Linked DNA regions of Coturnix japonica. The protein of the gene in region 1 purifies or fractionates together with the protein of each later gene. This does not show direct contact. Links are inferred from orthologs where the notes say so. Each region holds a gene or a part of one and is shown on either strand. Other genes may lie near its edges.

The links.
Region 2: the proteins of TJP1 (region 1) and OCLN purify together in Homo sapiens (affinity purification with western blotting; 4 studies listed by BioGRID and IntAct, with this or other methods). This does not show direct contact. The link is inferred for Coturnix japonica from reciprocal best matches to the Homo sapiens genes TJP1 and OCLN.

Annotation. Positions count from the first base shown.
Region 1 is NC_029525.1:5,215,111-5,219,898, forward strand, and holds the start of TJP1 (tight junction protein ZO-1), read right to left. Parts: upstream 3,116-4,788; 5' UTR 3,101-3,115; coding exon 2,934-3,100; intron 1-2,933. UniProt on the Homo sapiens protein: TJP1, TJP2, and TJP3 are closely related scaffolding proteins that link tight junction (TJ) transmembrane proteins such as claudins, junctional adhesion molecules, and occludin to the actin cytoskeleton.
Region 2 is NC_029543.1:2,405,058-2,410,091, reverse strand, and holds the start of OCLN (occludin), read right to left. Parts: upstream 3,376-5,034; 5' UTR 3,282-3,375; intron 2,452-3,281; 5' UTR 2,307-2,451; coding exon 1,644-2,306; intron 797-1,643; coding exon 638-796; intron 1-637. Other genes in the region: OCEL1 (occludin/ELL domain-containing protein 1), read right to left, coding at 3,771-3,893, 4,089-4,227, 4,310-5,034. UniProt on the Homo sapiens protein: May play a role in the formation and regulation of the tight junction (TJ) paracellular permeability barrier.

The DNA.
Region 1 (4,788 bases):
TTATCTAGTTCCTGTAATCATTTCAAACATAACGCACCAGATAAAACCCTACTCTTGGAGAAATAGAGGTAGTACTCCAAAGAAGTATTACTACACAGCCTCAGAAAAGAGCATCTGTCCACGAAGAAGCTCATCACAGCCTGCAAGATTCTCATGTTGCCTCAGCCCAGAGCTGGAATGAGGCTGCCGCTCTGAATGAAGACAGCTTATTGACTTGTTAGACTCTGCTAACTGGCAGCATTATGACAGCACTTTTTTGCATCCAGATACAGCAAGACCGTTAAGAACACCCTACTCATCTCATTTGGTTCCTATGTATTAAATTACAGTGCCTCACAAACACGGGTCTGAATCAGCAGCTCTAGACTCCAGCAACTTCCTTCATCACTAGAATCAACACCCAACTGCCTCCAACAAACCTCACCCCAAAATGACCAAGTTCCACATTAAATGCAGTCAAATTTCCATCTACACCACTTCCCACAGCAAGCTGCAGCATCTGTTTTGGACCGCTCTCTGGTTTATACTCAGGCAGTCTACACCAGTTTATTGTGAACTCATCATGAGACGTGGGTATCCACCTTCTTTGTTTTCATTCCTGACTCTGCTTTTCTACAACAGGAACAGAACTTGGATTCCAGGGAGGAAAGTAGTAGGAAATTGGAGTGACAGATGCTCCATAAAGAAATAAAGCATCGCTGTTACCTTTTTCATTTTCATTCAGTAGGATTCAGGTGGATTATCTCAACCTACAAAAAGATGAGTATTTTAACCCTTTTTTATTAAATTACGCCTTTTGCTTCCACTTTCACTAAGTACCAACATATCAAAGAACTCATGAATCTGACTGCTTAAACAAAACGCTTTTTGTTGTTGTTGTTTTCTTTTTGCTAAACTAAAACGAAAGAAAATCAGCATCCATTGATTATAAAATTGGTCAGTTACACATTTTGTTTATGCTTCTTGGAGATTCTCAGTGATTCAGTTCTAGAACACACCTTTGCTTTCTGTGTTGGAAATAGACTCTAATATCGCCTTGATTTTAGTAATAACAGTATCTATTCTTGTCTCTTATATTCACTTTTTCTTAGTGGATTATTTGATACAGACTAAGCTCAAAAAAACCACCCCAAACTAAACAATAAAGTAACCTTAAGCATTTCTGTAAATGCATCGGAGAATAGTATTTCTTACATGAGCATAAATTCTATTCAAAGATAATGCCTAATGCTATTAAAGTTCTCGAAGAAAAAGTGACTGCATAATATCATGTCACCTACTAACAACAACATCCTAGAGATACGCTGCCAAACCTGAAATAATTCATAGATATCGCTAAAAATAAAATAGAAATGATCTTATTTCTCCCTAACACTCTTAGCTAACTAAATCTCCATGAAGCCTACCATTGCAGCAATACTGAGACAAGTCACAAACGTTACAAAATGCACAGCTCTTAGCACACATCAGTGGGGATCCACTCTGTTGTTTTGAAATCCCTCAAAAAGCACAGCATTTTGCCAGAAAACCAGGCAATATAGAGCTGATCTAACTCCAGCTGCAGACATCACATCAAGGAGAGAGTGAAGAGGGAGCTTTCAGACTTTTAAAGTAAGTAAATGCAAATAGCCTCATTTTAACATGTCTAAAAACGTTTCCAAGAAGACATAGGAAATAAGAAATAGAACAAGTGCTAGTGTTGTATGACGCATAATTAGACTGTCAAAAGAAGTAATATATCGATGGATGTTCTTCTGTGCACAGACAAGAAAAGCACTGGAGGAGAACGGAGCAGGTACAGTGGTAGCACTTTATGTAACTTACATAATCAAAATCAAACCACTGAATATACTATAAAACCTTTAGATTTGAGTAAATGTAATAAAATTATCTGCATGACAACGTATGTGTAAGACTACATTTGATCTTGTGCATTACAGTTAATAGAAATGGATCTGCAATCTGTTTTATAGTAAGATTTGGAACTAATGACAGAGCTTATTAGCTATACATTGCTCCTGCAAGGGACGCATTTCCTTGATACCGTGTATGCTAACTGGCAATACTGGACGGGGGGAGGTGGTTTAAGGGAAAAGCACATTGTAGAATAATTCAGGTAATCATGTATTTGTTGGGGCTGCCGACATGCAAACACCTCTGTCCCTGCAGAGGGTGCCCCTCTAAGCAGCATGACCTACCATGCCTTCTATGGCACTTCCCTTCACCGTGAGCGAACAAGTACAGTGAAAGAAAGAAACACCGGCACCACTTTGTCTTTCTGAGGAGAGAAATTCTCGGTGTGCGTTTGTTCTCAGCGGTTCCCCCACGAAAAGCCCGAGCTCGTGGACCTGGCAGCTTGTCCTGACGGCACATCCCGCTGCCTCCATGCAGCCAGCAGCGGCCTGCTCCCGCCAGCGAGTGCTGAATAGCACAGTGCCATATGCTTGTCGCTGCCCTACTCACCCACATTACACAATTACACTTTAATACATTTTTCATAACGTATTGTTGATTCGGCCAGAAAAATCGGTTCAGCACACCCATCGGCGAGCAAGAAAACACCGACAATGAGTCGAGGAAAAGTCCATTTCAGCATCTCAGCCGCCGCACCGAGGCCCGCACCGCCGCCCGGCCCACCTGCCCGGAGGGAGGCACGGCCCGGCGGGCTGGGACTCGGAGCCGCCCGTGTGAGCGCCCCGCACGCAGCGCAGCGCAGCGCCTGCCCGGCCGCGGCAGCGCCCCGCGGGACGCCGAGCGGGACCGTTCGGGCGCTGAGTCGCGGGCAGCTCCCGCGGGGCGCTCGGAGCCGGAACGTCCCGCCCTGAGGAGCGCGGCAGCCCCGGGCCCGCAGCGGACCCGCACGACGCTCCGCGGCCGCCGCCCGCCCGTCCCCGCCCGGCCGCAGAGCCGCCCGGCCGCGGTGCGTTACTCACCACAGCTTCCTCTTTAAGGGCATCAGACTGCCCCTGTTGGAGGCGGTCACCCCTATGGCCATCTGCAAGACAGTCAGGTATTTCTGATACTTCATTTTGCCGTCGCCCCCCCTGTCCCTGCCGCGTCCCCGCCGCCGCCACCGACAGAGTCTCTCCAGCCGCTGCATGCAATCATCAAATTTTTATTTCCAGGCATCTGCCGTCCCTGCGTCGCGCTCCTTCCCCTCCTCCTCCTCCTCCTCCTCCTGCCGCGCTCCCTCGCTCTCTGCCCCCCCGGCTCTCGCTCTCCTCCTCCTGCCGCACTCCCGCTATCTCTGCCCCCCGCTGACGCTCTCCTCCTCCTCCTCCTCCTCCTCCTCCCGCCGCGCTCCCGCCATCCGCGCTCCAGCTGACGCTCCTCCGCCTCCCGCCGCGCTCTGCCCTCCCCCCGGCCCGCTCCTCTCCTCCTCCTCCACAGCCGCCCTGCTGCCCGCATCCCCCCGTTCGCACCTGCCGCTTCCCGTCTCCCGCACCGCCGCTGCCCGCAGGCCGCAGGCCGCTCGCCCCTTCCTCACCTGCGCCGCCTCTCGCTAGGCCCTACCTCCCCCCCCGCCGTCCGTCCCCTCGCGGTCCGTTACCCCGCATCCCCCCCAGCCCTGCGGGCCTCCTTCCCCTCCATCCCTGCCCCTTTCGGACGCCGCGTTGACCCGCTGCCCGGCCCCGCTACCTGTGCTTTCCCCCCCGCCCATGTGGCGTAGCTGTGGCGCTGCCCTCCCGCCATCAGCGGGGCGCCATGCCGCAGCCCGGCCGCGCTGCCTCGCCCTGATCTCCTTAGCGCCCGGAATAGCCCCGCGCCGTCCCGATCTGCCCCTGCCGCCACACACGGGCGCTCGTGGCCGTCGGTCACGGGGGGAATCGGCGCGGTACCCGCCTGGGCGGCGCTGCGGAGGCGGGGAGGGGGAAGGTGAGGTGAGGGTGAGCGGCAGGAGCTGAGGTGCGGTGAGAGGGAAGTGCGAAGGTGAGGGTGAGAGGATGAGGGTGGAGGTGAGGGGAAGTGAGGGTGAAGGCGAGGTGAGGCTCAAGGTGGAGCTGAGGTGAGGGTGAAGGTGCAGCGAGGTGAGGGTGAAGGTGAAGGTGAGGATGAAGTTGATTGTGAAGGCTGAGGTGAGGATGGAGGTGAGGAGGTAAAGGTGGAGGTAAACGTGAGGTGAGGTGAGGCGTGCTGGGCTGGCAGGACAGGGCAGCGCTTCCAACCAAGCCTCCTTCGGGATGAGGAGGGATGTGCACCTCTGGATCCTTCAGCAAATGTAGCTGACAACATAACCGTAATAGTCCTACGTGTGACCATTATCATTACAACCTTAATTTGGTTTGTGCCCTCTTCAAGTTACACACTGAGAGCTGTAGAAAGAAGTCCAGCTCTTGATGAGTGCTTTTGGAATTCATTGTAAACATCAGAAGACCCATCTCTGAGCAGCCATACCTGAGATGAAGGGCAGCACGGGGCTGTTGATAAACAGCAATTGGAAATATGGCTAGAGATAGCTGGTGGCTGTGCCCCGGCAGGAAGCTCCGAGTTATCCTTAATTCAAGTCTGAAACCTTCTCAATCTCAAGTAATATGATAAATCCACTGAAATGGGTCCATTTCTTTCTAGGATATTCTGTAGATGTTCTGATACATATGTTGAGAGATAGTTGTTAAGTGTTTTAATGCAAAAAGTTCTTTTTCTTCCTCCAAACTGTCAGACTAGGGGAAGATGAAGGTCCCTTGATATCATCTGGGGTATTTTGGTTGTTCCAGTACTCCTAAATTATGTAGATATTTTGCAGAATATAGATAAGAGCAAATCCATTCTGAAGTGACAACTTTCTGT
Region 2 (5,034 bases), on another chromosome or scaffold:
GGGGGGGCATTAAAATTACTCCCTGCCTGCATGTATGGCAGCACCACCCCATACTGCTGCCATGGGGCACTGGTAGAGATGGATACACTGCTATGGACTATGTTGGGTGTGGGGTCTGTGCCCCAACCCTCCCAAGGAGCAGGAAATGCCGGGCTGGGGAGGGACGTGGAATGAAAATAAATAAACCCGAACAAAGATGTTTGTGCAGAAGGAAAAGCAAACAGTGGGCACACAGACACGGAGGGGTGCAGAACCTGCAGACCCCTGGCACATCACACCCATCCCTATGGGGCTGGGAATGGGCAGGTGGGACCTAGACATGGCTGTGTGTGTGTCAGCACATAGAGTTAATCATTGACGAGACCGAAACCCAGCAGTGCCTGCAGCCGGTGCAGAGCGGACAGAAGGGACGGGCTCAGCACTGCTGGCCCCCGGCCCATCTGATCCAACCCTGTTTGCCTTTAGGGCCAGAGAAGGGAAATAAAAGGGCTGCTTGGGGAAGGAGTTCAGCCCCACGGCTCCTGGTACAGCACTGTTTGTAGCAGGAGGAGCTCCTGATATGGGGCACAGCCACGTTCCCAGCTCCCAACCTGCTCAGGGTAGGAGGAGGATGCTCCCATTGCCCCCCTATACTCACCCACTCCTCCACATCGGGCCCCTCCTGCACTACGGGTGCACGGTCCCAATAGATGTTGGCTTTGCCATAGCGCCAGATCTTGCTGCGTGTCTTCTGGGCGAAGAAGCAGATGAGGCAGAGCAGGATGGCAATGAGGAACCCACAGACAGCAGCCACAGCCTGGAGGGGAAGCAGGGAGGGGGGGGCTGAAGGGGTCTGCACTCACCCAGCCCCCGTGTGGGGCTGAATGGGGCAGCTCTCCCCCCATAGACACCCATAGGTTAGACAGGCAGTCCACAACACAGAGCCACCATGGGGTTTGTAGGGCTGAAGGCTGGGTTTTATCATGGGAGCAGACGGAGGGGACACCCCAACACTGCACCTCCATTGGGGTCAGCTGAGCATGGAGCTCTATGGGGCACTGAGCACAGCACCATGTTGTGTCCCCCCCCCCTCCTCCACGGTGCAGCAGTGTTATGCTCAAGGTGCAGGAATGCAGCACATCCAGCCCGGCTGCCACAAACCAGCAGCACCGGTCCCACCCCAGCACTGTACAGGAACCCTACAACGGCCCCAGCCGAAACCGGGGCCGTGCAGAACCTGCTGCCTTCTGCCCCACTGACCCCAACCAGCACAGCACAGCACAGTCCGGCTTCCCCTCCCTGCTCAAGTCCTTTTACAAGCCTGGAGACCAAAGTACCCGGGAGCAGCTCAGTGTTGGGGCACAGCCTGTCCCCTCCCCGAAACTCCTGTGCTTTGATGGCCACACGGTGCCATCCCCCTCCCCTCCACCCAATGCAGCAGCACCACAAATGGGGGGGGGCATTAAGAATGGGGACACCACATCCCCATCAGGACACACTGACCCCAAATTGCTCCCCCTACGACCTCATTCTGCCTTTAAATCATTATGGGGGGGGGACACCGCATCCTCATCTCCATCAGGACACTCTGACCCCAAATTGCTCCCACTACAACCTTAAAGGGCTGACTTTAAATCATTATTGGGGGGGGGGTTCACACTCACCTCCTGCGGATCCACAGTGCAGTAGTGGTAGATATACTGGTTGAGGTAGGTGCCACCATAAGCCTGGCTGCACATGGCCAACAAGGGGCTGTAGTAATAACCACTGGACATCTGTGCCTGCGGGTTGACCCCCATGATGTAGACGATGGATGCGATGAGCATGACGAAGGCCAGCACAGCGCTCAGCACCAGCACAGCCAGGTAGAATCGCCGTGAGCGTGTGGCCCCTGATTTACTGAGAGCAGCCACCAACAGCCCCAACTGGGCCAGGAAGCACAGCACGGCCATAGCGATCATAAAGCCATTCGCCGTGCGTTGGTTCACCCCTCCATAGTAGCTCCCGTAGCCGTAGCTGTAGCCCAACGAGCTGCCGTAGTAGCCGGTACCGTAGAACCCCCCCAAGCCGGTGCCATAAGCCCCCCCCAGGCCGTAGCCATAGTCCCAAGCGAGCGTGGATGCTACACAGGCAAAGATGGCAACGCAGAGCAGCAGGACCCCCCCCTGCAGCCCCCGCACCACGCCGGGGGGCGACGTCCACTTATAGAAGTGCTGCGGAGCGTCGTCTACGTAGTAAGAGCCCGGAGGGGGCGAACCGTAGCCGTAATCAGCGCCGGGGGGGCCGTACATGGTGGGGGGAGAGTCGTAGGATTTCTTGCTGAACATGGTGAACCTGCGGGGGGGAAGGACGGAGCGCTGACACCGCCGGTTCTCCCCGTCCCCGTTGAGTTCAATGGGGGACTTTGATCGCCGTCGGTCGGTCGGTCGGTCCGTCCGTGTGTCCGACGCGTCACAGCGACTCGTAGGGAAACTGAGGCACGTTTTGGGGCGGGGAGAGACGGTGAGTCAGCGCTGGGTGCTCAGCCCTGCCCGCCCGACCCGCCGCGTCATGGGGTCGTCTCATTAACAAGCACAAAAGCGATTAACCGAGGGCAGCGCTCACCCCCGAGGGCCCCTCCGGCAGCAGAGCTGCTGGGATTAACAAGCAATGGGTGGGGGGGGGGGGTTCACTGCCGGTTCTTCCCCTACCCCGGACCCCCCCTCCGCACTCAGGATCGCCCTTTGCTTTTGCTTTGCTCTGAGTTCACAGGTGTTTGCAGCAACAGCGCAGGAAGGTTGGGGGGGGGGGGGGGGAGCAACGCCATGAGGGGCAACGGGGGGAGACGGGACGGCTCTGCAGCCTAAAGCTTCCCCCCCCCACGATGTACAAAGGCACAACCCCACAGACACAGCACAACCCCAAGCATTGACCCTCCCCCCCGGCAGGTGCAATATGAGAAACCCGAACCCCGCGGGGTAACCCGAGCGGAAGGCAGGCGGGGAGTTGGGGGGGGGTCGCGATGTCCCAACCCCCCCCTCCCCGTCCCCAACGCAGGTCCCGGAGAGGGGAAGGATGGGGAGGGGGGGGGCTCTGTGTGTCCCCCCACCCGACAGCCCCGAGACGTGGAGCCCCTCCCGGTGCAGCCCCCCCCCCCAACCCGGTCCTCGCAGCGCTCCGGTACCGGCGGATACAGACGGAGACCCTCGGAAGGACCCACAAAGCACCACCCCCGCCGCTACCGGGACCCGCACTCCCCCACCCCGGTTCCGGTATCGGTTCCGGAGTCCCGTACCACCGCACAACCCGTCACCTGCACGCACCTCCGCCGCTTTGTTCACCTTAAAATGGCAGCCGGGAGCGCTGCGGGACGGGACCGGTCCCGGTTTCCGCCTCCGGGGGGAGCCCCGAGGGCGGCCCCGCTGCCGTTGTCCGCCCCCATTGCGGGGAGGGGGAGCGGGGGCTGCGGGCGGGGGTCCCCGTAGTGCAAGGCTGAGTGGGTGACATCGGAGCATCCCCGGGGCTCTGGGTGCCCCCCACCCGCTGCGGGTCCCCCGAGATGCATCGAATCCCCCCGGAAACATCATGGGATTTTATTATAAAGTGCCCCAATCCCTCTTTGGCTGCACCTGCTTTGTGCTGGGGGGGGGGTGCAGAGCCACTAGAGACCCCCAGATTTGCTCCCTTTGCCACAGTGGTTGCAATACAGCAGGCAGTGGGTGCCCATAGTGCTGTCACCCCCAGTACTGAGCCCCACAGTGTCCACAGGGCTTTTTTTTCTGGGGGGGGGGTCTCCATCCATCGTGCCCCGCTCAGAAGAGGACGGTGCTGCTGCGGTCACTGTTGCGGTCATACTCCTGGATCTGTGCCTTAATATGTGTCAGCTTCTCCTTCAGGTAGAGGCAGCGCTGCTGCTTTGCCACGAAGGCCAAATCCTGGCAATGGGACACGCTGAGCACCGAGACCCCCCCCACGCAGCCCACACCCCTCACCCTCCTCACCCTCTTCTCCCCCAGGAGCTCACAGCAAACACAGACCCCCCCCTTTTTCACCCTACAGAGCAGAAAGGCACAGCCCCCCCCATCCCCACCCACCCACCCCCTGTGCCCCCCATCTCATCGCACACCCACCTTGCCCACAGCATCATCATCCTCCCCCCACCGCTCCGCCTTCAGTCGGCCCCGCAGCTCCCGATACTCGGCGTGTTGATCGACGAACACCGCCCCGTATTGCTGCCGCTGCCGGGAGCTCCGGATCGCCGGGTACCGCCTGCAGGAGAACCACCACCAGCTCAACCCACGGGACCCCCCATGGACCCCCCCCCCCCTTCACACCGAGGATGGTCACTTACATCATGTAATCAGGCTGGGGGGGCACCGAGCCTGAACACTTGCTCTCTTTGCTGGTGGTGACTCCAGCCCCCCATAGGGGTCTCCCTGCCACCCCCACCTCATCCTCGAAGATTACACGTTTGGCTCGGACCAGCGGAGGCTTCAGGATGGAAACTGGGGGGCTCAAAGCCCCCGTGGGCTGCAGGTTGTCCATAGGGCTACAAGGAATCGCTGCAGCCCCCTGGTACCAAACCTTGAGAGCCACGGCACTGCCGGCCAGGTAGAGCAGAGCAGTGAGGAAGAGGAAGAGGAGAGCGGCCGCCTGAGCCCCATCCACACGGCAGAGCTCGGTGAGGAGGGGGCTGCCAGGCAGCGGGGAGGAGCAGAGCCCCCCCAGGGTGACAGTGTGAACGTGGGCCCCCGCCGCAGCCAGGCAGAGCAGGAAGAGCAGCACATAGAGCCCTGCTTCGGTGGGGGGCCACCAGGTGACCCCCAAGAGGATGTGATGGTAGCGGGTGGTGACCCCCAGCAGGAGGGCAGTGAGCAGCCAGGCCAGGCCGAGCACTGCCAGCACAAAGGGGGTCAGCGGGACCCCCAGCCCCCCCCCAGGGAGCAGCTCAGTGCTGTAAGCGCTGTAACCCCATGGGATGGCAGCACACACACAGATAAAGGCCGCCCCCCCGCACAGCAGCTGCAGCCCCCCCAGCACCCACAGCAGTCCCAGCCACGACTTCAAGTGCTGCCC